Stegostoma tigrinum: one gene and its partners. The protein of the gene in region 4 purifies or fractionates together with the protein of the main gene of each other region. This does not show direct contact. Links are inferred from orthologs where the notes say so. Each region holds a gene or a part of one and is shown on either strand. Other genes may lie near its edges.

Region 1 (7,222 bases), on a different chromosome or scaffold from region 4:
TACCATAACCGTGGGCATATGTATTATCACAAATTTGGCAACCTCTGCAGAGGTTGCTCCAAGCTGGTCAAAGAACCAAAATGCTGCTGTGATGAATACAGCCAGGATCAAGCTTCTGCCATGGACATCATAAAACAGCAGATCAAAAGCCACTGTGGAATACAGAGTGGCTCACAGAAACACTGCATTTGGCCCATCAAATCGATGCCAACTCTTTGCAGAAGCACAAAGTGATGTAACGCAAGCAGCCAGGAACAGAGTGCTACAAGAAGCAGACTGTGGTGCTGCCATTCTGAGGCAAATATTTTCAATCGACATATTCAGGGGATTGCCTTTTTCTTACATCTGCTGAGACTCCAGCTTCCAACAGCAAGGCAATAGCTGCCATGTAGCTTCAGCCAGTCTTTCAGTTGTGCTGTCTCACTGAATCTTACAGTACACAGCTCCAAACAACTTTTGTTTTGTTTACTTGATTCAATATTTTGAGACACTTGGGGTAAACATTTATACACAACACTCGAGAAACTGAACCCGTCTAAGACAAAGCATCCGACTGGATTTACACCCCAACCACAATCAAAAACTAGGGACGACCTTGGCAGAACTAAAAGGGGAGGGAGGTAAAATTAGGCTCGGATGTAAATGTTTTGCGTAGCTGGATGCTTTCCAACATCAAAGAGGATTTCGTGATAAGACCAGTCTTTGTGAAGCTTCAACTCCCCAGCCCCTCCAAATGGTCTTCCCCATCCCAATTTCCGCCATCCCCCAACACTCCTAACAACTGTCCCCTCCCTCCTCCTTTCCACCCAACATCCTATAGCTCCCCTTAACTTCCCTTCCCCACCTCTTCCCCAGCTGCTTTCTCTCCTCTCACTACTCCTTCCTAAACCCCTTCCTTTCCCTCCCCAATCCGTCCTTCCTTCCCTGTCTCCCCCTTCCCCCACCTCCTCTTCCCTTCCGCCCTCCCACAGTCCCCCATCTCTCCTTGCTCCCCAGCTCCCCTCCAGCCAATCCCCCTCCCTGCATCTCCACTGCCCTGCCAATATCCCCTCCCACCTGCCCCTTGCCAACCTTTCCCCCTCCCCCTCCCCCTTCCCATCCTTACCCACCTCCCCCTTCCCCAGCACCTCCCTCTTCCCCCATCCTACCCCTTGCCCCCTTCCCAACCTTACCCCCCTCCCACTTCCCCAGCTCCTCCCTCTTTCTCCGTTCTCCCCGCTTGCCCCTTTCCCCTCACCCCCCTCCTCCTCTGCCCCCCGCTTGCCCCCTCCCACTTGCCCAGCCCCTCCCTCTTCCCCCCACTTGCCCCCTCCCACTTCCCCAGCTCCTCCCTCTTCCCCCCACTTGCCCCCTCCCACTTCCCCAGCTCCTCCCTCTTCCCCCACTTGCCCCCTCCCACTTCCCCAGCTCCTCCCTCTTACCCCTGCTTGCCTCCTCCCACTTCCCCAGCTCCTCCCTCTTCCCCCTGCTTGCCTCCTCCCACTTACCCAGCTCCTCCCTCTTCCCCCCGCTTGCCCCGCTCCTCCCTCTTCCCCCCGCTTGCCCCCTCCCACTTCCCCGCTCCTCCCTCTTCCCCCCACTTGCCCCCTCCCACTTGCCCCCTCCCACTTCCCCAGCTCCTCCCTCTTCCCCCCGCTTGCCCCCTCCCACTTCCCCGCTCCTCCCTCTTCCCCCACTTGCCCCCTCCCACTTCCCCCCTCCCACTTACCCAGCTCCTCCCTCTTCCCCCCGCTTGCCCCCTCCCACTTCCTCCCACTTCCCCGCTCCTCCCTCTTCCCCCACTTGCCCCCTCCCACTTCCCCCCTCCCACTTACCCAGCTCCTCCCTCTTCCCCCGCTTGCCCCCTCCCACTTACCCAGCTCCTCCCTCTTCCCCCCCGCTTGCCCCCTCCCACTTACCCAGCTCCTCCCTCTTCCCCCCACTTGCCCCCACCCACTTCCCCAGCCCCTCCCTCTTCCCCCCGCTTGCCCCCTCCCACTTCCCCAGCTCCTCCCTCTTCCCCCCGCTTGCCCCCACCCACTTCCCCAGCCCCTCCCTCTTCCCCCCGCTTGCCCCCACCCACTTCCCCAGCCCCTCCCTCTTCCCCAGCCCCTCCCTCTTTCCCCCGCTTGCCCCCTCCCACTTCCCCAGCCCCTCCCTCTTTCCCCCGCTTGCCCCCCCCACTTCCCCAGCCCCTCCCTCTTTCCCCCGCTTGCCCCCCCTACTTCCCCAGCCCCTCCCTCTTTCCCCCGCTTGCCCCCCCCACTTCCCCAGCCCCACCCTCTTTCCCCCGCTTGCCCCCCCCACTTCCCCAGCCCCTCCCTCTTTCCCCCGCTTGCCCCCTCCCACTTCCCCAGCTCCTCTTTCTTCCCCCATTTGCCCCCTTCCCCACCTCCTCCCCTCCCCAACCTTACCCCCCCACTTCCCCAGCTCCTCCCACTTCCCCGTTCTCCCCAGTTGCCCCTCCCCCTCTCCTCCGACTTCCCAACCTCGCCACCCCCCACTTCCCAACCTCGCCCCCCCAGCTCCTCCCTCTTCCCTGTCCTCACCTCACCCCCCTCCTCCCTTTCTCCTTTCCCCGCTCCTCCTCTTCCCCCGTTCTTCCCCTCCCCAACCTTGCCCCTCTCCCATTTTCCCAGCTCCTACCCCTCGTCCCCTACCCTTAGGCACTCTCAGGCCTTACAGCTTCCTGGATCACTGGGCAGCAATTATCTGATGAAGGGTCTAGGCCCGAAACGTCAGCCTTCCTGCTCCTGAGATGCTGCTTGGCCTCCTGTGCTCATCCAGCTTCTCACTTTGTTACCTGATGAAGGCCTGTAATCCTCGAACCTGGCAGCACGGCCGCGAGCCCACACTGCTCTCGAGTTCTCCCCAAAGGCCGATTACCGCCTCTTTACTCTTGTTTCTTTTTCCCGTCTCGGTCCTCCAGCCGTTTCACGTCCGAGCGAGGCCGCTGTGAGCCGCCATGTTTGTACGGGGCAAATCCAGCTCTCCGCCTGCGCCCTAGGGGGTCAGGTGGCCGGCATTTTGCCCCGCAACAAGATGGCGCCTGGCAGCGGGGCGGCGCTGAAGGCAATGTTGCCGGTTCGTTCGGTGGGAAAGTGAAGAAACTGAATGAAAATTGTAGCTCTGCATTGATCTTGTTGCAAAGGAGCTCCAACGGAAAGCGAGTGACAATAGGGAGTATTACTGGGTAAAAATATGTAGCATCCATTGGAAGTGCGTCAACAGTTTTGTTTTGGGGCTCAGCTGTCAGCATTCCACTGATCTGATGCCATTTTCATGTAATGCATCAGTAGTAAATGTGTACAGAACCCCTAGAGCAGCTTGATTTTATAAATACAGAAATTAGGCACTAAAATTAAAACAAAGGACTGCGGACGCTGGAGATCTGATTTTTTAAAAAGTGGGGAACAAGTTGAGTTAACGTGTCGAGTCCAGTGACTAATTTGTCCGTAGTGCCCAGGGATGTGCAGGCTAGGTGGATCAGGCATTGGAAGTACAGGCTTGCTACGACAGGGTAGGGTGGTGTGTCTGGGTGGGAGGATCAATGTGGACTCGATGGGCCAAATGGCCTACTTCATCAATGTAGGGATTCGATGACTCTCCCCTCAGATACTGCCACAACTGCGAAATTTCAGCATAAATTAAGGCAAGGGTCCGCTAATCCAGAATAGCATTAATGGGGGAAGTTTAACTTTAATATTGATTGGGAGAGGCAGACAAGCACCGTCACACAGGTAGTGAATTTCCAGAGTGCATCTGGGACAGTTTCCTACAGCATTTGGTTCTGAATGCAACAAGGGGACAAACAAAATTTGATTTATTCATGAGTAATGAATCAGATTTAGTTAGTTACCTAATTGTGCACAACCGTTTATCAAATACTGATCATAACATGATTGAATTCGATGCAGCATTTGAAAGCATAAAACAGAGGCAGCTTTATGAGCAGCATGAAGAGTTTTACATTTAGGTAAGACTGACTTGAATGACATGACACAGAGACTATCCACAGTAAACTAGGCAAATCTGCTCACGAGTAAAACAACTAAAGAGCAGTGGAGGATGTTTAAAGAAACATTTAATACAAAATCAGTTTATACCGTCTGCTCTGGAAGATTAGGTTGCATGGAACCCAGGGAGATCTGGCAAATTGGATACACAGTCAGCTTGTTGATAAGAACTAGAGAGAGTAATAGTGAAAGGATGCTTGTCGGACTGGTGGCTAGTGGTGTGCCTCAGGGGCCAGTGCTGGGACCATTGCTATTTGTTATCTGTATCAATGATTTGATTGAGAATAGTAAGTTTGGGGATGACACGAAGATATCGTGGACAGTGAGGAAAGTTATCAGAAATTACAGCAGGATTTTGATCAGCTGGGGAACTGGGCTCAGAAATGGCAAATGGAATTTAAAACAGATAAGTGTGAGGTGTTGCATTTTGGAACGTCAATGCCGGAGTTTCATGGTGAATGGAGTGTAGTGGAACAGAGGGACTTGGGAGTTCAGGTGCACGGTTCTCTGAAAGTGGAGTCACAGGTAGACAGGGCAGTGAGAAAGGCTTTTGGAACACTGGCCTTCATCAGTGAGGGCACTGAGTATAGATGTTGGGAAGTTATGTTGCAGTTGTACAGGATGTTGATGAGGCTGCACTTGAAATATTGTGTTCAGTTTTGATCACCTTGTTATAGTAAGGATGTTATTAAACTGGAAAGATTGCAGAAGAAATTTACAAGGATATTGACAGGACTCAGCTATAGGACTGAGTTATAGGCAGAGGCTGGACAAGCTAGGACTGTTTACATTAGAGCGTAGAAGACTGAGGGGCTAACTTATATAAGTCTATAAGATCATGAGAGGCATTGATGGGGTGAATGCAATCAGTCTTTTTCCCTAATTTGGGGAATTAAGGACAAGATGGCACCAGTTTCAGGCAAGGGGGCAAGAATACATGGGAACCTGAGGAGCAATATTTTTACACAGAGTATGGTACGCATATGGAATGAGTTGCCAGGGGAAATGGTTGAGGCGGGTACATTAACAACATTTAAAGGCATTTGGATGAATACATGGATAGGAAAGGTTTGGAAGGACAGAGGCAAGTGCAGGGAAATGGGGTTAGTGTGGTAGGACATTTTGGTTGGCATGGACCAGTTTGGGCCGAAGGGCCTGTCTCCATGCTATCGGACTCTATGTCTCAAAGAGGAAAAGCTCCACTTCACATAAAAGTGGTCAAGAGACATAAAACTGAAATCAAGAGCTTACAAAAATGCAAAAAGAAACATAGATCCCGGTGAATGGGAAAGATACAAAGATCAGCAAAAGACCACAAAGCAACTTATACAAGCAAGTAAAAGGAACTGTGAAAGAAAACTTGCCAGGGATATCAAAATCAAAAAGAGGAAACATTATAGTTACATAAAGGGAAATTGGGTAGTCGGCAACAATTTTGACCCACTAAAGACTGAAAGTGGGAAGGTTTTTGAGATTTGTAGCTCGGATTGTACATACTCGAATAGCACATTGCGGCATTATCTCTGACAGGCCACAACAGAAAGACACAACACGGCCAGACACACTAGTCACCCAACCATACATTAGGAACATATCAGTGATGACCACAAGACAACTCAGGCCCCTAAGTATCAGGGTAGATCACAACCCAATAACCACCCTGCAACAGCAACTGACGAATGTAAAGGACCCCATTCCCACAAACAATACAACAAATGTAATATACAAAATACCATGTGTGAGAAACATTACATAGGCCAAATTGGAAGAAAACTGGCAATAAGAATACATGAATGCCAAGTAGCCACCAAGAGACATGACCAATTCTCACTGGTCTCAATGCACATGGAAAAAGAAGGGCACAGATTCGACAGGGACAACACATCCATAATAGCACGAACCAAGTAGAGACATGCCAGGGAATTCCTAGAGGCCTGGCAATCCAACCGGAACTCCGTCAACAAACACAGTGAACTGGACCCGATATACAAACCAATGAAGAACAAAACTGGAAGTCATACCACCACCCTACTAAACCAAAGCATATAAATAACAAATGGGTCAGAACACCAACGCTTCACTGTCAGCGCACTGACATTGTCCCCTAGCAGAGTGACGAAACATCTGCAATCAAACATGCTGGCTTGGAGAGCAAGCCTGCAACCTCACCGAAAGTGGGAATATTGTCAATGACCACTAGGAATTGGCAGACATGTTGAACAATTGCTTTACCTGAGTTTTTATGATTAAAAAAGAGAACAGCTTGCCATAAGTCTGAGAAAATTAAATGTGGATTGGGAACAGGGACTGAATAAAATTAATGTATGTAAATCATTGAGGAAATTAATGGAATTAAAGACTTATAAACTCCCAGGACCTGACGGTTTCTATCTAAGGGTGTTAAAGCAGATAGGAGAGTCCATTGTAGATGTCCTAACTATAATCTTTCAGAGTTCTCTAGATACAGGACTCATCCCTCTGGATTGGAAAGTTGAATATGTCACACTGCTTTTTAAGAAGGGCAAAAGACAAAAACCAAGGAATTACAGACCAGTTAGCCTAACATCTGTGTTGGGGAAATTGCAGAGGTAACTAAGGTAATTCTGGTCTGGACAAGGACAAATCAGGGTACTTTCTGGATGCTTAAATACAGTGTTTGTCCAAAGAGACTTGGGGTTCAGTTGCAAACATCTTTAAAATGTCATGAGCAGGCACAGAAAATAATCAAGGAACCTAATGGAATCCTGGCCTTTATATCTAGAGGACTGGAGTTCAAGGATGCAGAAGTTTTGCTATGGATGTACAAAACTCTGGTAAGACCTGCTGTGGGCATCTGAGAAAGAATATATTAACCTGAAAGGGGGTAAAATGTAGATTTACAAGAATGATACCTGGTCTTCAGAGTTAAGTTATGAAGAGACATTATACAAATTAGGCCTGTTTTCTGTTGAATTCAGAAGATTAAGGGATGACCTGATCAAAGGCTTCAAGATAATACAAAGAAAAGAAAGGGTAGATAAAGATAAACTATTTCCACTGGTTGGGGATTCTAGACCTAGGGGGCATGGCCTGGGAATTAGGGCTAAATGTAGGAGTGATGTTAGGAAGTACTACTACACTCAAAAGGTGTAGATGTTTTCAACTCTTTTCAAGTGGCAGTGGATACAGGATCAATTATTAATTTTAATTCTTATATGAATTTTGCTTAAGCAAAGGCATTAAAGGAT
Region 2 (7,956 bases), on a different chromosome or scaffold from region 4:
GCACTGACCTCTACATCGCTGAGGCCAAACGCCAAATCTCCGACACCTCTTCATATTGCCCCCTTGACCATGACCCCACCCCCGAGCATCAAACCATCATCTCCAACACCATCCATGACCTCATCACCTCAGGGGACCTCCCATCCACAGCCTCCAACCTTATTGTTCCCCAACCCCGCACGGCCCATTTCTATCTCCTTCCCAAAATCCACAAACCTGCCTGCCCTGATCGACCCATTGTCTCAGCCTGTTCCTGCCGCAACGAACTCATCTCCACCTATCTGGACTCCATTTTCTACCCTTTGATCCAGGATCTCCCGAATTACGTCTGTAACACCACCCACGCCCTCCACCTCCTCCAGAATTACCAATTCCCTGGCCCCCAACACTTCATTTTCACCATGGACGTCCAGTCCCTATACACCTGTATTCCTAATGCAGATGGCCTCAAGGCCCTCCGCTTCTTCCTGTCCCACAGGCCCGACCAGTCCCCCTCCACCGACACCCTCATCCGCCTAGCTGAACACGTCCTCACCCTCAAGAACTTCCCTTTCGATTCCTCCCACTTCCTACAGACAAGGGGGGTGGCCATGGGTACCCGCGTGGCCAAGCTATGCCTGCCTCTTTGTAGGTTACGTGGAACAGTCCCTCTTCCGCACCTACACAGGCCCCAAATCTCACCTCTTCCTCCGTTACATTGATGACTGTATCGGCGCCGTCTCTTGGTCCCCAGAGGAACTCGAACAGTTCATCCACTTCACCAACACCTTCCACCCCAACCTCAAGTTCACCTGGGCCATCTCCAACACATCCCTCACCTTCCCAGACCTCCCGGTCTCCATCTCAGGTAACCAGCTAGAAACTGATGTCCATTTCAAGCCCACTGACTAGCTAGAATACACCTCCTCCCGCCCACCCTCCCGCAAAAATTCCATTCCCTATTCCCAATTCCTCTGCATCTGCTCCCAGGATGAGGCATTCCACTCCTGCACATCCCAGATGTCCAAGTTCTTGAAGGACCGCAACTTTCCCCTTGCAGTGGTCGAGAACACATTTGACCGCGTCTCCCGCAACACATCCCTCACACCCCGCCCCCGCCACAACCACCCCAAGAGGATCCCCCTCATTCTCACACACCACCCCACCAACCTCCAAATACAACGCATCATCCTCCGACACTTCCGCCATCTACTATCCGACCCCACCACCCAAGCCATTTTTCCATCCCCACCCCTGTCTGCTTTCTGGAGAGAGTACTCGCTCCGTGACTCCCTTGTCCGCTCCACACTCCCCTCCAACCCCACCACACCCGGCACCTTACCCTGCAACCACAGGAAATGCTACACTTGCCCCCACATCTCCTCCCTCACCCCCATCCCAGGCCCCAAGATGACTTTCCACCTCAAGCGGATGTTCACCTGCACATCTGCCAATGTGGTATACTGTATCCACGGTACCCCGTGCAGCTTCCTCTATATTGGGGAAACCAAGCAGAGGCAGAACGCCTCCGCTCGGTTCGCAATAAACAACTGCACCTCCCAGTCGCAAACCATTTCCACTCCCCCTCCCATTCTCTAGATGACATGTCCATCATGGGCCTCCTGCACTGCCACAATGATGCCACCCGAAGGTTGCAGGAACAGCAACTCATATTCCGCCTGGGAACCCTGCAGCCTAATGGTATCAATGTGGACTTCACAAGCTTCAAAATCTCCCCTTCCCCCACTGCATCCCTAAACCAGCCCAGTTCGTCCCCTCCCCCCACCGCATCCCAAAACCAGCCCAGCTCTTCCCCTTCCCCCACTGCATCCCAAAACCAGTCCAACCTGTCTCTGCCTCCCTAACCGGTTCTTCCTCTCACCCATCCCTTCCTCCCACCCCAAGCTGCACCCCCATCTTCTACCTACTAACCTCCTCCCACCTCCTTGACCAGTCCGTCTTCCCTGGACTGACCTATCCCCTCCCTACCTCCCCACCTATACTCTCTCCACCTATCTTCTTTACTCTCCATCTTCGGTCCGCCTCCCCCTCTCTCCCTATTTATTCCAGTTCCCTCCCCCCATCCCCCTCTCTGATGAAGGGTCTAGGCCCGAAACGTCAGCTTTTGTGCTCCTGAGATGCTGCTGGGCCTGCTGTGTTCGTCCAGCCTCACATTTCTTTACAATGGTGCACTGGGTCCTCCTGGCGCCCAGATGACTGCTTTACGTCTGCTCCGCGATCCCCTTTGGCCGCCCGGAGACAGTATTAGGTAGGCACTGGAGCCCCTTACGGCCGGAGGACCATATTACACGTACACATGAACTCAACACACCCCCAACCAAGATCACAAAGTGTGTAGCTGTATGAACACAGCAGGCCAAGCAGCATCTCAGGAGCACAAAAGCTGACATTTCGGGCCTAGACCCTTCATCAGAGAGGGGGATGGGGAGAGGGAACTGGAATAAATAGGGAGAGAGGGGGAGGTGGACCGAAGATGGAGAGAAAAGAAGATAGGTGGAGAGAGTGTAGGTGGGGAGGTAGGGAGGGGATAAGTCAGTCCAGGGAAGACGGACAGGTCAAGGAGGTGGGATGAGGTTAGTAGGTAGATGGGGGTGCGGCTTGGGGTGGGAGGAAGGGATGGATGAGAGGAAGAACAGGTTAGGGAGGCAGAGACTGATACCATTGTAACGAGGTCCTCCGGCTGTCGTATGGGTTGGTGCTCCTGAGTGAACTGACCTCCGGCCGCCAGGGGACCTAGCATACTCATGAAACGCGGCCTCAAGGCCCTCCGCTTCTTCCTGTCCCGCAGGCCCGACCAGGCCCCCTCCACCGGCACTCTCATCCGCCTAACTGAACTCGTCCTCACACTCAACAACTTCTCTTTTGACTCCTCCCACTTCCTACAGACTAAGGGGGTGGCCATGGGCACCCGCATGGGCCCCAGCTATGCCTGCCTCTTTGTAGGTTACGTGGAACAGTCCCTCTTCCGCACCTACACAGGCCCCAAACCCCACCTCTTCCTCCGGTACATTGATGACTGTATCGGCGCTGCCTCTTGCTCCCCAGAGGAGCTCGAACAGTTCATCCACTTCACCAACACCTTCCACCCCAACCTTCAGTTCACCTGGGCCATCTCCAGCACATCCCTCACCTTCCTGGACCTCTCAGTCTCCATCTCAGGCAACCAGCTTGTAACTGATGTCCATTTCAAGCCCACCGACTCCCACAGCTACCTAGAATACACCTCCTCCCACCCACCCTCCTGCAAAAATTCCATCCCCTATTCCCAATTCCTCCGCCTCCGCCGCATCTGCTCCCACGATAAGACATTCCACTCCCGCACATCCCAGATGTCCAAGTTCTTTAAGGACCGCAACTTTCCCCCCACGGTGATTGAGAACGCCCTTGACCGCGTCTCCCGCATTTCCCGCGACACATCCCTCACACCCCGCCCCCGCCACAACCGCCCCAAGAGGATCCCCCTCGTTCTCACACACCACCCTACCAACCTCCGGATACAACGCATTATCCTCCGACACTTCCGCCATTTACAATCCGACCCCACCACCCAAGACATTTTTCCATCCCCTCCCCTGTCTGCTTTCCGGAGAGACCACTCTCTCCGTGACTCCCTTGTTCGCTCCACACTGCCCTCCAACCCCACCACACCCGGCACCTTCCCCTGCAACCGCAGGAAATGCTACACTTGTCCCCACACCTCCTCCCTCACCCCCATCCCAGGCCCCAAGATGACATTCCACATTAAGCAGAGGTTCACCTGCACATCTGCCAATGTGGTATACTGCATCCACTGTACCCGGTGCGGCTTCCTCTACATTGGGGAAACCAAGCGGAGGCTTGGGGACCGCTTTGCAGAACACCTCCGCTCAGTTCGCAACAAACAACTGCACCTCCCAGTCGCCAACCATTTCCACTCCCCCTCCCATTCTCTTGATGACATGTCCATCATGGGCCTCCTGCTCTGCCACAATAATGCCACCCGAAGGTTGCAGGAACAGCAACTCATATTCCGCCTGGGAACCCTGCAGCCATATGGTATCAATGTGGACTTCACCAGCTTCAAAATCTCCCCTTCCCCTACTGCATCCCTAAACCAGCCCAGTGCATCCCCTCCCCCCACTGCACCACACAACCAGCCCAGCTCTTCCCCCCCACCCACTGCATCCCAAAACCAGTCCAACCTGTCTCTGCCTCCCTAACCGGTTCTTCCTCTCACCCATCCCTTCCTCCCACCCCAAGCCGCACCTCCAGCTACCTACTAACCTCATCCCACCTCCTTGACCTGTCCGTCTTCCCTGGACTGACCTATCCCCTCCCTACCTCCCCACCTGTACTCTCCTCTCCACCTATCTTCTTTACTCTCCATCTTCGGTCCGCCTCCCCCTCTCTCCCTATTTATTCCAGTTCCCTCTCCCCACTCCCCTCTCTGATGAAGGGTCTAGGCCCGAAACGTCAGCTTTTGTGCTCCTGAGATGCTGCTTGGCCTGCTGTGTTCATCCAGCCTCACATTTTATTATCATGAAACGCGGATCAGGTGGACCCAGTGTACCCATGTAATGCAGTCCTCCGGCCGTCAGGGAGACACAGTGTACCGATGTTACGCGGTCCTCCGGCCGTCAGGGGGACCCAGCGTACCAATGGAACGCGGTCCTCCGGCCGTCAGGGGGACCCAGCGTACCCATGGAACGCGATCCTCCGGCCGTCAGGGGGACCCAGCGTACCAATGGAACGCGGTCCTCCGGCCGTCAGGGGGACCCAGCGAACCCATGGAACGCGGTCCTCCGGCCGTCAGGGGGACCCAGCGTACCCATGGAACGCGGTCCTCCGGCCGTCAGGGGGACCCAGCGTACCCATGGAACGCGGTCCTCCGGCCGTCAGGGGGACCCAGCGTACCCATGGAACGCGGTCCTCCGGCCGTCAGGGGGACCCAGCGTACCCATGGAACGCGGTCTGAGGATATGAGTGACCCACGTGTCGGCTCCATGGTTGCTGGTAGTTTCATCCATTTCGCCGGCACCGCCTGAGGGAACGGGCGGCTGGGGACAGTGGTGAGTACTCGGGTTAGGATTGTGGGTTTGGCCGGGCCCCAGTTGGCATTAAGTCAGCGGCCTCGGCCTGAAGTTTAGGCGGTTCCCCTGTGATGAATCGGCTTCTGACCTGCCTCTGTTTCTCCCTGTCTCCTGTACAGGCCGGCTCCTGGGACCTCCATCCCCCAATGAGGCCGCTCCATCCCCGTGGTGTTAGTGGTCGGCGAGGTCAGGAGTGCCGCCCGGGTACCTGCATCAGGTGAGGTAACTGCTGGCCTGTCAGGATGGGAGGGAGCGGCTTCCGGCACCTCTGGCTTTAGCTGCAGTAGCTTCTTCCCCTTTCATTGCATCAGGTAGGGCTGGGTGTAGAGTGGGACTGTGCAGCCTGTGAGGAAAGTCGCAACCTCAGCGAGATGAGGATAGAAACCTCACAGTGCTCCAAAGCCGATGAGTTAAATAAGTGTGGTCACCATGGTAATGTAGGAAACTCACTAGTTAGCAAGCGCACAGCAAGATCCCATAGCCAACCGTAATACGGTAATTGCCCGATGTTCTGTTCTATTGATTTTGATTGAAAGGTAAATGTTGTCCAAGATACCAGGGACGACGCCTTCCATTCTTTTCCTCAAATAGATCTTTTGAAAGGTAGTCCCTCAGTCTCCTCCAACAGTGCAGTACCACCTCAATATTGAACCTCCTGTAATGCAGTGTTCCTCCAGTACTGTTCTTTGGCATTTGCAGCACTCGGGTTGTCATTTACCTTTTTTTTACTCAGGCCTCTGGAGTGAGTTCCTGACTCAGGCAAGACTGCAGCCCCAAACTCTAAAGTAATGTACAGTGTGCCAGTAGCTCCCTGATCGGTTGTTAACTAAATGAGGATGAGAAAACTTTCCTTTTCTGCGATCTTCAATTACATTGTCATTTGCTGTCCTGTTTTCACATGGGTCATTCATTGCAATTTACAATCATTGTACTTTTTGCATAATGTTTATCAATTGTAAACATACCATAACTCTTTGAGCAGTTTATGTAAGTGCATCTATTACAATACTCTTGGTCTTGTTGAGCTACTAAATAATATTTACAGAGCCTCAGGTAAGGAAAACATCAACATTATTTAATAATCATCTTGCTATGGCTTCATCTTGGTCCTGAGGCTGCAGTGGAGACTAAGACCATGTGACATTGCATCACTTTTATTAGCATATCACATTCAGACATAATTTATCATTCTATACTCCACCCAGTTTCTGATTTGACTGATCATGTTCCTATTCGCTCCCCAAGTGTCTGACTTCGCTGCTTTGGTTGGTAAATGAAATCTGCCATTTGTACCTCATAGTGTCATAGAAATGTTTAGCAAGGAAACTCATCCGTGCTGACAAGATATCTTAAATTAATCTAACCCTGTTTGTCAGCTTTTGGCCCATATCCCCCTCAAACCCTTCCTATTCATATACCCATCCAGATGCCTTTTAAATGTTGTAATTGTACCAGCCTTTTCCACTTTCTCTGGCGGTTCATTCCATCCACACACCACCCTCAGCATGAAAATGCTGCTCCTTGGGTCCCTTTTTAATTCTCTCCGCTCTCACCTTAAACCTGTGCCCTCTAGTTTTGGACTCCACCACCCCAGGGAAAAGACCTTGTTTATTTACCTCATGCGTGCCCCTCATGATTTTATAAACCTCTGAGATCACCTCCCAGCCTCTCATCATCTAGTGAAAATAGTCCCAATCCATTCAGCCTCTCTTTATAGCTCAATTCATCCAAACTGACAGCATCCTTGTAAATCTTATCTGAATTCTTTCAAGCTTCACAATATCCTTCTCATAGCAGGGAGACCAGAATCACATGGAGTATTCCAAAAGTGGCCGAACCTATGTCCTGTACAGCCACAACATGACCTCCAACTCCTATACACAATGCACTGTCCAATAAGGGCAAGCTTACCAAACACTCCTTTCACTATCCTATCTACATTCAAATCTATTTCCAAGGACTATGAACCTGCACTGTGAAGAAAAGCAGTGGAACCAGCAGCGATACTTCTTGCACACCACTGGTCACAGGCCTCCAGTCTGAAAAGCAACCCTCCACCTTCATCGTCTGTCTTCTACTTTCTAGCCAATTCTGTATCCAAATGACTAGTTCTCCCTGTATTCCATGTGATCTAACCTTGCTATCACATGAGGAACCTTGTCAAATGCCTTTCCTAAATCCATATGGATCACATCCACCACTGCCGTCATCAGTCCTCTTCGTTACTACTTCAAAAAACTCAATTAAGTCATTGAGACACAATTTCTCTCTCACAAAGCCATGTTGACAATCGCTAATCAGTCCTTATTTTTCGAAATACATGTAAATCCTGTCCCTCGGAATTCCCTCCAACATCCAATGTCAGGCTCACCAGTCTGCAGTTCCCTGCTTTTTCCTTTACCACCTTTCTTAAATAGTGGCACCACATTAACCAACCGCCAGTCTTCCGGCACCTCCCCTGTGGCTATCGATGGTACACATATCTGAGCAAGGGGCCCAGCAATCACTTCCCTCGCCCTTCACAGAGTTCTAGTGTACACCTGATCAGGTCCCGGGGATTTAATCTACCTTTTACCTGGTCTGGTCTGAGGGTGGCACGGTGGCTCGGTGGTTAGCACTGCAGCCTTACTGTGCCAGTGACCCAGGTTCAGCTCCAGCCTTTGGCAACTGTCTGGCCTTTGCACATTCTTCCTGTGGCTGCAGCTGTCACCTTCCTGTGGGATGTGCCACTTTCTTCCTGCAGTCCAAAGATGTGCAGATTAGGTGGATGGGCATGCTAAATTCCCCTTAGTGTGCATAGATGTGTAGATTAGGTGGATTAACCATGAGAGATGTCGGGTTACGGGACTAGGGTAGAGGGGTGGGATGCTGTTCGGAGGCTTGGTGT
Region 3 (7,150 bases), on a different chromosome or scaffold from region 4:
TTTTCAAACTCGAGCATTATAGCAATGTTGATTCAGCTGGATTGTAACTGAATCTGAAGTTTATTACAGAGTAACTACAAAAATGTGTATTAATTGTAATTCTTACCAAGTTCAACAGGGTAAATCTGTATATTTACATCAAGAATCAGGTCCATTTTAAAGGATTCACTTTCACAATGTAAGCGAGAAACTGTAAAAATGACACAGAAGTTCTATTATATGCCCAAAGGTATCTAAATATTGCTTTTACTGATCAGTTTATCAGAACTATCATTCACAATCAAACACTATCTTTTTGTAAGAGTAATATCTTGTTAAGATTGCATATTTATTGTCAATTAATTTTTTTTGTATTATAGTATATTCTCCCTCATTAAAAATACACAAGATTCACACCAGCCCAAAGGGCAACAAATTAATTCAAGCAGAAAAGCCAAATTTAGGCAAGAGTATATTTTGTTCATCATATTTTAAAATTGTTATGCATTATTACTTAGCATGGAAGCAAACATGGAGGTGCAGTATATTTAGTGCAGTGTACAAAGACTTCAAGGAGTATTTGACAAGATGTCACGTGAAAGAATATTAAAGGAGATAACCGAGCTTTGAATGAGGGGAGAAGATAAAAAAAAATTGGTCAAAAGGAGAACTGTAGGAGTTGGGGAAGTTTGGATCATTCTGGTAAAGGCTTAGTGGTATTTTTCATAGTACAACTGTGGATGCACTTATCTTCACTGCATTTATCGATGAACTGGATGTAGGAATAGAGAAAGCAGTGTCACATTTGCACATTGAAAAAAATCCTATTTTGAATTAAACAGACTAAAAGGAACATATTATGCAATGTTGTTAAATTGGAGAATGTATGAAAAATTGGCAGGTAGAACACAACAACATGCATTTAAACAACATTGTTAATTTGGGAAAGCATACCAGCATTAACAAAATTTGGCACCGGCCACATCAGAAGACAGTAAGTTGGACAATCAAAAGATTGGTCAGAGTCATGTTTTGGAAGCATCCTAAAGGATAAATGAGAGCTAGAAGACAGAGGGAGATTTAGAAAGAGAACTCTTGAGCAAAACGTAAGGCGCAACCACAAATGAAGTAATTACAAGATAATATTTGGTTTAGAAGGGGTGGACGCTTGGAAGTTGTTTCCGTTAGGCGGGGAGACTAGGACCCGTGGGCACAGCCTTAGAATTAGAGGGTGTAAAATTAAAACTGAAATGAGACGACACTTCTTCAGCCAGAGAGTGTTGGGCTTGTGAAATTCATTGCCGCAGAGTGCAGTGGAGGTCGGGACGTTGGATGCCTTCAAGGCAGAGATCGACAAATTCTTGACCTCAAAAGGAATCAAGGGCTATGGGGAGAGTGCAGGGAAGTGGAGTTGAAATGCCCATCAGCCATGATTTAAATGGCGGAGTGGACTTGATGGGCCGAATGGCCTTACTTCCACTCCTTTGTCTTATGTTCTAAAATCAGGGAAGCTCAAAAGGCCAGAAATGAAGAAATGCAGGCATCTCAAAGGGTTAAAATTACAGTGTTCAGGATGAGTAGGCTAAGGATCTGAAAAGAAGGATGTGAATTTTAAAATCAAGGCATTGCTGAAACAGCAAACAAAGTAGGTCAGTGAGGACAAGAATGATATGAAAAAAAGAATTCTGTGCAAGTTAGGCCACAAGCAATAGAAGTGATTTCAAGTTCACAGAGGACAGAATATGGGAAGTCAAATAGGAAGCCTTCTCACTAATCAAATTCTAAGGTAACAAAGTTATGAATAAGAATTTAAAATGCAGATGAATTTAGGCAGATAATCGCAAAGCATGAAGTGATGCATTCTAGTTAAAAAACAAAATTATTTTTCAAACAGAAGTTGTTTTGTTGTTGAGGAAGTGCAGAAAGATGTAAGAGTATTATGGCTCCACAGCTAATTAAAAGCAGCACATCAGTAAAAGCAAATTATAATGGAAATTTAAGTTTTTCCATACAAGATATATTGTAAATAAAGCAATAGGTACTAATGTCAATTGTATATAAGTGATAACAAGTCATTAATGCCCATGAGAAAATACAAAGGTTTAAAAATTGGATACTGGCTTGATAGGACACATATTTGATGCAATACAATATTAATTTAAAATTATTAAAGAGTGAAGCATGTTTTTTGAAGCTTTTTCCACCAATTTAATGGAACGGTACCTGTCCTGTGTCTATTTTCTACAGCAGAAGCTGAATTACAGTAAGTAGAAACAACCTAATTAATAAAGACTATTCTTCATGAGGAATATTATTGGAATCCAAATGCAAAAGAAGTTTTTTTTTTATTTGTTTCGAGGCTGTGGGAATTCAATTCCAGCCACATTCATGGTTGGGGAAGGGCCACATGCGTGTTGAGACTGAATAGTGAAAGTAGAACAGTGAATAAAACGGTCGGTGTAATAACATCCCTGAACAGCTTGATTAGAAAATTAGGTTTAATTAAAAAAAATGTAAGGATAAGAACAGGAGGTGTAAATATGATCTGAATTATTGCCTGCTATGGAAGCAGTTTGGGTTTGCTCGGTCCGAAATGGGGCTTTTGCAACTTTCCACAATTGCAGGAAAACACATATACAACATCACAGGAATTGGTCGTAGGAGTAAATCAATGAACTAGATACTAGTATTAAACGAAGCACTGGAAGACTGTAAAAAATGCTAGTTAGAAGTGGAGGACGAAAGCTGAATCACTCTATTCCCTTCCCTATGTTGGACATGAACTGCCTGAACCCATTCATTTGGGGAACTCGAACACCCAGGAAGCAAAGGCAGCAGGTCTCATCTCTTTCCCTTACCTCTGTCAAACTTTACACCTTCCGGGTCAATATCCTTCACATCAAAGATATCCTCAAATAAAATTCCTGCCATCCTTGTACAAATAAAATTACTGTTAACTTCTAGCAAACACAAGCAAGAGAATTTCAAACTACTGCCAAACAGGCCACGACAAATCTCTCGGAGTATGCCGGGATACTGGCAGACCTTCCCTGCCTCCCAGTAGATTGGCAGCAGCTCTATGTGAGTATATGACCGCAGTTCCGCCATCTTTAATCAAGGCATTGCTTTGTGTTTCAGTACATGGGGTTTACTGAAAGGTTCTTTCTCCTAAACGTAAATAAACAAGCTTAGTTCTTTTAGGTCTTTATATTTTGAACAGTTTCTTAAACGTTGATGGAAACATATGAAAAATACGACAGGCACTGTAAATCTGAAACTTATAAATTGTTTGGGACTTCTCTGGGTCTGTTAGCCAGCTATGGATTCAGAAATAGCATTAACGGGCTGTCTCTTCGTGCGGCCTTCAAGACCAAGTCCACACTTGCTAGTAACCAAGGCTGGGCTCAGCATTCTTCCTGGAAGCAGCATCCACCCACATTTGTCCACCGCCTGCAACATTCACTCATTCCACCAACACGCAATAAAAGCAGTATATGCCGTCTACAAGATGTACTGCTGCATCTTGCCAAGTTTTTTTGGACCAAAACTTCTCCCTGTGACCCAGCAGGACAAAGTCAACAGGCACATATGAGAACATCACAATCTACAATTTCCCTTCCAAGTCACGCCATCCGAACGAGGAAATATGTCATGTTTCTTCACTGTGGCTGGGACAATATCCAAGAACTTCTGTACTGTGGGTGTGCTGACGACACACAGACTGCTCTCAGACAAATAGCCAGGCCATAAATGCTGGCCTTGACAGCATTCTTCACATCCTATGGAGTAATAAGATGATGAATATAACTGGTTTCCTTGCCAGCTTCACCACATTGAGCTGTCAAATTGAAGAGTCAGTGGAAAAACTGTTGCCATTGCTCCTCAAGTCTTTCCTGGTGAAAAATTTCAGCTGTCCAGCTTCAGGCTTTGCCTAAACAGAATCAGAGCTTGCCTTTCCTGTTTTGGGTGTCAGTACAGACACATTCCACTGGGATAAGTGATTACCAACTGAAAGCTTAGTGAAAGCTCCAGCACTGAAATCCATATCTAAGAATTGAGGAAGTTCTGAGCAAGTGGAAAATACACCACTTCTCCTAGAGACTGTGGTGAAAGGTGTCATTGACAGTTGAAGAGGTGGCAACTATATGAAAGTTGAAAGCCTCAAGCAAAGTTTTTGGAGTATGAAAGTGCTTGATTACAGGTTTTTGTGGGAATTGTCTCCAACTCTGCTATAATGCTTAGTACCAACTTCATATAGTTAATGGTTAACGAGTTTTGAGAAGATTTGTAGCTCAGGTTGAGGTTCTGGATGTGAGTTTGCTCGCTGAGCTGGAAGGTTAGTTTTCAGACGTTTCGTCACCATTCTAGGTAACATCATCAGTGAGCCTCCGACGAAGCGCTGGTGTTATGTCCCGCTTTCTATTTATCTGGTTAGGTTTCCTTGGGTTGGTGATGTCATTTCCTGTTCTTTTTCTCAGGGGATGGTAGATTTAATCCCAACCCAAGGAAACCTAACCAGATAAATAGAAAGCGGGACATAACACCAGCGCTTCGTCGGAGGCTCACTGATGATGTTACCTAGAATGGTGACGAAACGTCTGAAAACTAACCTTCCAGCTCAGCGAGCAAACTCACATCCAGTTAATGGTTAATGCTGGAACTTTGAGAGTCAATGCAGCACTTGAATAGTTCCTCCAATAGGAGGCAGTCAGCAAACTTTCAGCATTTTACCTTGATGAACGCCAAGGTTTTTGCTCAGAAGGCTCTCTTAGGTTACAAAATTTGGTAGCTTCTAACCTGTCCCGAGTCTGATTCTGAGGTGTTGTACAATCTTGTTAATGTCATTCTACCAGTTATCAGGCTGAGAATTGTGCCAGCGGACCCAAAATGCAACACAAGGGTGCTTGGTGTCAGCCAAGATGCAGCTGCTACTACGTTTCCAGGCATCAGTGCCAACCCATGCTCTGTCTCTCCTACAGCAAGAAAAACATCCTGTCTTTGTGGGATACTGCAAGAGGTATTTCTCTTGCATCAGCCTTAACAAAGTAACAATAAAAGTAAAATACTGTGGATTAAGGAAATCTGAAATAAACACAGAAAATGCAGGAGAAACTCAGCTGGACTATCAGCATCTGTGGGCAGAAGCAGAGTTAGTATTTTGAGCCTGGCTATGCCTCTTCTTCAGAACTATAAATAAAACTGATGAATTGTCCTAATTCTGGACAAGAGCAGGAAGCAACACCAAAGGCATCATCAATACATCAGAGATAGAATTGTGAGTGGGAGCCTGAGTACAACTGGAAAAAGGAATGATTCCAAACACTACATTAGAGAGATGGCCAAATCCGAGGCCCGTGCAAGTATCAATGAGCTTCACCTTTGACTTGCAGTAAATCAGATGAGTTAAAGGAAACGTTGTTCAAAGTGAGAACAAGCTCAGCCAGGTGAAGTATGATGGTATTAGCTTCTTTTCAAGGGAGAAAATGGAGAGCCTTCAGACCATCCTGATGGGGGATGGCTTTGCTAAGGCCTTTAATGCCCATGGTGAAGAAGAGGTGGCTAGGACCATCATTATAGAACCAACATAAAGCATCAGAGGAATCATGAATGGAAGTTGAAAGACACTTAACAAGGAAGGGTAAAAATAGAGTCAAAATAAGAAGAAATAAGTTCAGTGGAGTAAGAACAGGCTAAAATGATGGGCCTGCCTCGGCAGTCCTGATTGTGGATTTTGAAAAGCGGGTTATACGTGGCTGGGGGCCTATGAATTGGGAGCTGTGAAGGAGAGATCTCTGAAGGAGATGAGGTCAGTGATAGTCCTGGAGACTACAGCCCGATGTTCAATGATCAATGTCAGGTCATGATCCAGGGGGAGATAGGAGGAAGTGTCTGAGAGTTGGCACTCTGCCAGGTACTAGTTAGCATGGCAGATGACAGCCACTCAACCGTTATTGATAGTTTTGATAACAAGACCTGAGAGAACGGAGTTCAGCAAGTTCAGAGGGAGATAGATGTGAGTGGGTGAAGGGATTAGAGAAATTAAGGTGGCCAGTGTCACACCAGCAGTTCTCAATGAAGAAATGAAGAGCTTGCAAAAGACCAGACAGAGGAGTCCAGGTGGAGGGGATGCATTGGAGATAGGGGAAACAGCCTTTGTGGCTGGGAGAGGATTCCTGTCCAGGGTCATGGGCACAGAGACAAAGACAACAAAAGAAGAGTTTAGCACCATGTTGTGCCTGAAATTCATTAAGCTGGTTACGTCCCTTGCTAAGCACAGTTCATTCAGCATCAGAGAGGGGAACATAGGAGTTAGGAGTATGAGTAGGCAATTCAGCCCTTCAGGCCTGCTCCACCATTTAAAATGATCATGGCTGATCTTATCCTGGTCTCAATGCCGCTTTCCTGCCTGCTTCACAGTTCCCTTTCTCCCGCTTTTCATCACAAACAGTACTATTTTTTTCTTGAATTTGTTAATTGATTCTGCCTTCACTGCAATCTGGAGCAATGAGTTTCACAGAATCACAACCCTATGAGAGAAGTAGTTTCCCCCATCTCAATTTTGAACTTACCTGCTCCCATGCTATATCTATGACCTATTGTTCGAGACTGTCCCACAAGAAGGAACATACATCCAACGTCCACCTTATTAGTCCGCTTTAGCATTTTATATACCTCAGTCAAATCCCACCTCATTCTTTTGAACTCCAGTGAGAAGAAGCCGCAGCTATTCAACCACTCCTTGTATGACAGCCCTTTCATCCCTGGAGTCAACTTGGTGAACCTCTTCTGAACTGTCTCCAGTGCCACTACATTCTTTCTTGAGCAAGAAGACCAAAGCTGGACACAACACTCCAAATGTGTTCTCACTAACACCTCATATAATTGTAACAGCACTTCTTTACTTTTATAATCTAGTCCTCCTGCAGCAAATGCTGGGATTCCATTTGCTTTTCTTGTTATATGCTGCACCTGCATACCCACTTTCTGTGATTCATGCAGAAGCACACTCAGATGCCGCTGCACTGATGCACTTTGGATGTGCTTCCCAATTAAATAATAATTTGCCCTCTTATTTGTCGGGCCACTTGGACACCCTTGCATTTATCTACATTGAACTCTATCTGCTAGATTCTGACCATTCTCCTATCCTATCAGTATCCCTCTGTAAATT
Region 4 (6,879 bases):
AACTCTCTCAACATTCTTGTAAATCTTTCAAGTTTTGCAAAATCCTCTCCAATAGGTGGATATTAACCTAATGATGTGATATTGCCTGTCTTCCACAACAGGATGCACGTTAAGCACTGAGCCTGCTCTACCACTGACTACGATCATGGCTGACTGTGGATCTCAACTCCATCTTTTCAAAACAACGACTGAACACTTGTTAGGGTGAAGAATCTGATACATATTTACCAGAGAATAAAATTACCAAAATTGTTATCAGGGAACATCTGTTTATAAAATTAAAAGATTAAATATGTAAAAATAAAGGCATTGGTCCTGATGGGCTGAACGAATTTCTCAAATCCATGTTTTATGTTAATCTGTACCTTCAAAAGGATATTTCTCAAAGCGGGAAAAATAGGATACGATGTATGTTTAATTGTGAATACTTTTATATAAAGTGGAACTTAAAGAGGCAGAGAAACAAACAATAATTTTGATTCAGATGATCAAAACATTACTTCAAACAAAAATGGAATTTTAGACAAGATGTTAAATGCTGATCCATTTTAAAAATAGCACTTTTCTACAATGTTATTTTAGCAGTAACCAAAGACCTGTTACTCCACTATATTCAATAAGTTAACTTAATTTACTACATTTTGAATATAGCATGAATCCTGTTCGAAATGGATTTAATGGAAAACTCTTGAAGTCTTGAACTAATCTTCCCTGCATTTGTCTCAAATAAAATGTTGTGCATGATCAGTCTCTCACACAGTCATTTGTCTTCAATTGGATTATCTGTATACAAGTCATATCCAGGTAATATACTGTTTTTTCTAAGTAAGACATATGAAATTGCAGAAAGAAAGCAAAAGCAGTCTATCCAAGCTTGGATTAAAGTAACTATTAACTCTGCAAGTGCATATTTCATTCTTTTATTTTTGTGTTTCTGCTTCTCTTTACCTGTCATGCTAGTACAGACATGAAGGTTTTACTTTGTAAAATATTCACAATAAAATGGCTAACATATCATATGAGTTTGGCAACATCAACTCAAAGTAAAACTCAAAAAAACTTTAAGGTATGAACAGCCAGAGTTTCTTGTTGTAACAAGAGCTCAAGCAGAGGTGGCAACAGTGATGGGGGCACTGAGCAAGGAACTAAGCAGTTTTCAGAGACACCCGGCAGCAAGCAGTGACATTGAGACAGGCAGCTGGAGTAGATGAATAGAACTAGATAGACAAAGAAAGCATGTCTTAGGTAATGAGAGGGCTGATGAGAAAGAAGCCAGAAAAAGCAGTTCCTCAGCCTAATGTCATTCACACAGTCAATCCCCGGACACAGTATAAACAGTTGTTTGTTTATCTTTTATATCTCTTCCTGTTGTAAAGACATGATGCCACTGGAATCAAGAAGATAAAGAATAAATAAAGAAATGATTTTAATATCCCTGTTTCATGATTTTTGCGTTATTTGTGTTAGAACTTCATCTGACATTTTTGACACAGTCGGCAGGATTCTACTACACAGATATCAAGATACTGAGGAGCTGAGACTGAGAATGTCAGTGATGGAGGCTGAAGATGTTCCAGGGTCACACTGACCCTGATTCCTTAAGAAATTCACACTACAGTTCAGCAGAGTATCACTGATTGGTGAGGTCCAAACTAGGTCCAGACAGGTAGAACCAGGTGTGGTTTCACCTTTGCCATCTATCTCAAAAAAGGATCACCCACAGTTTCAACATCAGTAGACCGTACCAATACAGGAAGGCTCAGCACCCACCTAGAGGTCAGTAGTCCAGCAAATGACATGGAGGAAAGCAGATAACTTAATTGTGTTGCAGAACCTGAGGTGTCAGTGAGCATTGGTTCAAGTGAAAGTGGAGTTGGAGTGTTGCAGAACTGATGAAGGATCGCTGGACCCAAAACGTTAACTCTGTTTTCTACCTGCCAATGCTGCCAGAACTGCTGAGTTTTTCCAGCAATTTCTGGTTTTGTTTTTAAGATGAGACTGGTATCTCTGGCTGAACGGTAATGTGAAAAAAGCAAAGGAAAGGAAAATCAAGCATGTTATGAGCATCTGGATAGGCTCAGAGTAGACACCCTGATAACAAACAAAGAGTCCAAAAACAGTCCATTCCATGAACTAGGCATGTGTCCCTGAGCAAAGTGAACTTGCTGCAGCATTACAATGACAGGTGTTCGTGCAGACTAAGGTGCATTACTGAAATCCAGAAGAGTCCTGTAAATAGATCGAAATGTGCCATGGGGATCACAGATGATGTGGGGTGCATGTGGCCGGTACCCATGGTCTTTAACAGGATGTTGGTGCCTAGTATCCAACATGGAGGCTTTTTGGAGCAAATGGCGAGATGAACTCTCTCCAAAACACACTTGGCCTAAATAGTTTTTCCAAGTGAAGCAGCATTTCCTCCAGAGCTTCCCCCTATCGTGTGTATTGTATTCGCTGCACCTAGTGTGACCTATTCTACATTGGAGAAACCAAATGCAGACTGGGTAACCATTTTGCAGTACACCTCCAGTTCATGTGCAAGCATAACCCCAACCTGCCCGTAGCCAATCACTTTAACACAGCATCCTGCTTACACGTTCACTTGTTTGTCCTCTGCATGCTGTGGTGCTCCAGTGAACCACAGTGAAAACTGCAGGAGCAATATTTCACTTCTAACTAGGCACTTTACAACATTCTGGGCTCAATATTGAGTTCAACACCTTCAAATTGTGAGCCCATTCCTTCCCTCTCTCTCAGCTTTGCTTGTTACATGCTGTCATCCTGTCCTCTCTCCCCTTTCCCCACTCCAGTGGAGCAGTCTGTTCTTTCCAGTCTGGTACTTCGACATGCATTGTTCTGTCATTCTCACATTCCAACCACTTGATCTGAACAACTAGTATTTGTTCTTCCCCAGCACTGTAACCGCCCTATTACATAAATGCTGTCCTCTCCAAACTTCTTTTTAGCTCTGATGAAGAGTCATCGAGATTCAAAACATTAGCTTGCTTTTTCTCCATGAATGTTGCCTGTCACGCTGTGATCACTAGCATTTTTTGATTTTAGTTCTTCACACTGAAGCATCTCTGCAATATCCTCACTGTTCAGCCTCCCATCCTGCTTTGTACCATTTACAAAGTTGCAGATATTGCATTGAGTTACTTCATGTTGTGAGTAGCTGGGGTCCAAGCTCTGATCTCTGCAGTATCCCTCTATTCACTGGCTGTCATTCAGAAAATGACCCAATTATTCCTGCTCTTTGTTTCCAGTGTGTCACTTGATTCTCTATCCACCACCCTCAAACACAGTTCGAAGGCCTTGCTGAACGTCTCACCTGAATCGATCTACAAATTATCTTTCTATTGACCACGTTGCCCAGAGCTTGGTAAGGTTCAGTCCAAAGAGGTTGACTTAAGTTGAGAGTAATTCTCCAAGAACCAGCTGTATAAATTTCACAGCGTTTAACCTAGGTGCATCCATTCAAGAGTGAAGTCTTCATTCACTGAATACTTAAGCGGGTTCTTTCTGGAGATGTCACCAACCTCGGTAGCCATCTTAAACAACCTGAATTTTACCCATTTTTAAAATGAAAGACAATTCTAAAAAACTACGCATATGAACTTAATGTGAAGTCATAGGCAAAAGAAACCTTCAGTGTACGGAACAACGATAGTACGTTCATGGGGGACACACCTGTTTGACTCCCCTCACAACAAATCCTCATACCTGCTCATTGCACCTGCACTACTTCACGGCGCGTACACGCTGAAGATCTTGCGCACGCGCAGCTCCCTTCACGGTGTCAAGTGCTCATTAGTGACGTTTCCAGTTGCGGCCCGGGCCTAATGTCACGTGCCCAGTCAGCCCCGCCTCCTGTGTCAGGTGCGTGCTCCGGACCGTCCCGAAGCAAGATGGCGTGGGGCGGCGGGTCTTGCTAACACCGAGCGGCGTCGTCGAGAAAAAGAAAGCTGCGCTTCGAGCTTCTTGGGTGAATGATGCGAGTGTGAAATGTTTTCCGCTCCGACAGTGTGGATGACAAGACCTGCTCTCTCTATGCGGACGCGGAGTGAGGAGTTGTGCAGCTGTAGTTATCACATGCATAAACATTTCTTTAGGACTCCCAGTTCCTGAGTGTTTGTCAAACACACGCTCGGCCTCCGGCTCAGGAGGAAATGGCAGACTCGCAGCATCGGCCTTGTGCCGCCGCCGGCAAACCGCCCCAGTCCCAGCCACTGACTCTTTCACGGCTCCGAGAAGAGCATGGAAAGGTAAAGGCCGTAAATAAGCGGCGGCGGCGGCCATTGTATTAAAATCAGGCGGAAGGACGAGGAGAAAGAGCCTCGGATGCAGCGGGTTTTTTTTCGGGCACCGGCCTGTGGGCCCCGGTTTTGGTTTGGTAGGGGCCCGCCCTGTTTTGGTTAAAATGTCACCGCCCCCTCTGCCCAGATCCGCTGTTACCTTATTTACTGGTGGCTCAGACAGAACCCCGCTGCCCGGTCGAGCGGAATCTGGGCTGGGTTGTGATTCAGATCGGCCTCTTTTTGTTTGCACTGATTGGTCCGGCTCAGAAATCTCCTGTCAGCGAAGCGTGTGCATTTTTATAAGAGAGAAAAATACATTTGCTGTACGTAACGTGAATTAGAGTTTTAAACTCAATGCAGTGGAAACAGGAAGTCACCTTTTTGCCTTTGCGTGTAATGTCATGATACTCCCATCTTTCTGGGAGTTTCATTTCATTTTTCCCGTGAGATGAGCAGAATGATTATTTTTTAAAAAGGTGACAATGTTTAGATGTTAGATAACAAGGTGTAGAGCTGGATGGACACAGCAGGCTAAGCAGCATCAGAAGAGCAGGAAAGCTGACGTTTTGGGCCTGGACGCTGAAGAATGGTCCAGACTGGAATTGTCAGCTTTCCTCCTCTGCTGCTTGGCCTCCTGTGTTCATCCAGCTCTGCACCTTGTTATTTCAGATTCTCCAGCATTGGCAGTTCCAACTATCTCTGTTTAGATGATAGACCTCGCTTTCTGATGTTTTGAATCTCAAGATTTAGTGTGTATCTGACAAGGTAGATGCTGAGGTTTCCCCAAGATGCAGAATTGAGGAGAGTAGTATCACAATAAGCAATCAATAATCAAAACTGAAATCAGGAAGAATTTTCTCATGCACTGGATTGTGACTCTTTGCAATTTTCTGCTCTCTATCATGCGGTAGGGTCACTTGACTGTTCAATGTTACATTTCATGGGAATGAGAGGATATGGAAATCAGGTAGGAGATTTGAGGTGAAATCTAAAACCAACTGCAACTGAATGGTGGAGAAGCTCATTGGCCATATATTTTCGTTTGTTTTTATAATGTCAGTGTGACATTGTGACAGTTCTGACTGTCACCTTTTCATCTGACTCAGTTTTCTATAATGTTTATAGTTCCCTCTAATTCTTATTTTTCTAACTTTCTCTGTTTTCTACTTGAATTTTCCTAATAAAACCTAGTCCATAGGCTCATGTCCAAGCATGCTTTCAATTATCATCTTTCTTTCTGTAATAATTTATCTACAGACCGGACAGTGACTGTCGGCTGGAAGGTATTACCAGTACCTATTTGTCTTCTGACATGCTCACATTCAGCAGTAGGCACTCGATAATAGCCAGGAGCTCTGAGTCAGTAGACCTTGTGCTTCATACCCCATAATGGCAGTGAAGCCAACAAGAGTACACCTTCCTGAACAGTATCCCTGAACCTATTTATCCCCCTATCTGTGTAGCTGGTATCTGGACAAACTCTCTTTGAACTATTGGGGAAACTTTGTTTAGTTATTTGACTAGTTAGTACAGTAATTCAAAACTAACTTCACTTTGTGTTGCTGTGACAAAGTTTCATAACAGGAGCTCAATTGCAATAATTTCAAAATGTAGAAATAACTGCTTGATAATATATTAGGTGCTTTAATAGGAGTAATTTCATGTCTTACTGTTCTAATGTATTTTGTCAAATGTTCAAGTGAGTTTAGTGATGAGTGATATCAGGTGATGTAAAAGGAAGAGACGGTAGGAACTGCACATGCTGGAGAATCTGAGATAACAAGGTGTAGAGCTGGATGAACGTAGCAGGCGAAGCAGCACCAGAGGAGCAGGAAAGCTGACGTTTTGGGGTCTAGGCCTGAAATGTCAGTCAGCTTTCCTGCTCCTCTGCTTGGCCTGCTGTGTTCATCCAGCTCTACGCCTTATCTATGTAAAAGGGAGAACTGACTTCAAGTTTTTGAGACAAACTAACATCGGAGGGTTGGTGTGCAAAATGAAAATTACACCTAAATGAATACTTGTATTAAGAGTTTACAGCATTTTTTATGCATATCAAAGTTTTAGCAAATATCCATGCTTGAATCATAAGCTACGAGGATTGTTATGGAACCATGTTTTAAATGAGTGTAAAATGAAGGATGTGTAACCCACTTAACAGCAGGCTAGGAGTATTTCAAGATCTCTTGGAGACGCACATATTGACACAGGAATGATGTCAGGTGTTCACACTTGAAAACAATGGTAATAGTCTCTGAGATCACAAATAGGGTCTCTCGATGGCTGAGAAATATGTTGTAAGTATTAGGTTGTCAACTTTTGTGCTGACAACCGTCAGATTACTTGTAAGATTGAAAATAATTTGGATCAAAATATCTAAGTATTTCTACTTCTGTGAAATACATGCTTCTTCCATTGTCGATAAGTCAGAGCAAAAATAGACTTTTCAGCCCACGGAGTCTGTTCTGCCATTTCATCATGACTGATTTTCTCAGCCCATTCTCTTGCTTTTTTTCCTTGACCCACTTACCAGTCAAGAATCCATCTATCTCAATCTTAAATATGCTCAACAATTTGGCCTTCA

The links.
Region 1: the proteins of uri1 (region 4) and polr3d purify together in Homo sapiens (affinity purification with mass spectrometry; 3 studies listed by BioGRID and IntAct, with this or other methods). This does not show direct contact. The link is inferred for Stegostoma tigrinum from reciprocal best matches to the Homo sapiens genes URI1 and POLR3D.
Region 2: the proteins of uri1 (region 4) and polr3e purify together in Homo sapiens (affinity purification with mass spectrometry; 4 studies listed by BioGRID and IntAct, with this or other methods). This does not show direct contact. The link is inferred for Stegostoma tigrinum from reciprocal best matches to the Homo sapiens genes URI1 and POLR3E.
Region 3: the proteins of uri1 (region 4) and polr2h purify together in Homo sapiens (affinity purification with mass spectrometry; 3 studies listed by BioGRID and IntAct, with this or other methods). This does not show direct contact. The link is inferred for Stegostoma tigrinum from reciprocal best matches to the Homo sapiens genes URI1 and POLR2H.

The regions. Positions count from the first base shown.
Region 1 is NC_081393.1:16,509,189-16,516,410, forward strand, and holds the start of polr3d (DNA-directed RNA polymerase III subunit RPC4), read right to left. Parts: upstream 3,002-7,222; 5' UTR 2,783-3,001; intron 1-2,782. UniProt on the Homo sapiens protein: DNA-dependent RNA polymerase catalyzes the transcription of DNA into RNA using the four ribonucleoside triphosphates as substrates.
Region 2 is NC_081376.1:34,159,511-34,167,466, forward strand, and holds the start of polr3e (DNA-directed RNA polymerase III subunit RPC5), read left to right. Parts: upstream 1-4,937; 5' UTR 4,938-5,048; intron 5,049-5,188; 5' UTR 5,189-5,286; exon of another isoform or gene 5,287-5,291; intron 5,292-7,956. UniProt on the Homo sapiens protein: DNA-dependent RNA polymerase catalyzes the transcription of DNA into RNA using the four ribonucleoside triphosphates as substrates.
Region 3 is NC_081367.1:41,069,222-41,076,371, forward strand, and holds the start of polr2h (DNA-directed RNA polymerases I, II, and III subunit RPABC3), read right to left. Parts: upstream 3,019-7,150; 5' UTR 2,911-3,018; coding exon 2,838-2,910; intron 191-2,837; coding exon 107-190; intron 1-106. UniProt on the Homo sapiens protein: DNA-dependent RNA polymerase catalyzes the transcription of DNA into RNA using the four ribonucleoside triphosphates as substrates.
Region 4 is NC_081369.1:32,684,904-32,691,782, forward strand, and holds the start of uri1 (unconventional prefoldin RPB5 interactor 1), read left to right. Parts: upstream 1-3,861; 5' UTR 3,862-4,169; coding exon 4,170-4,265; intron 4,266-6,879. UniProt on the Homo sapiens protein: Involved in gene transcription regulation. Acts as a transcriptional repressor in concert with the corepressor UXT to regulate androgen receptor (AR) transcription.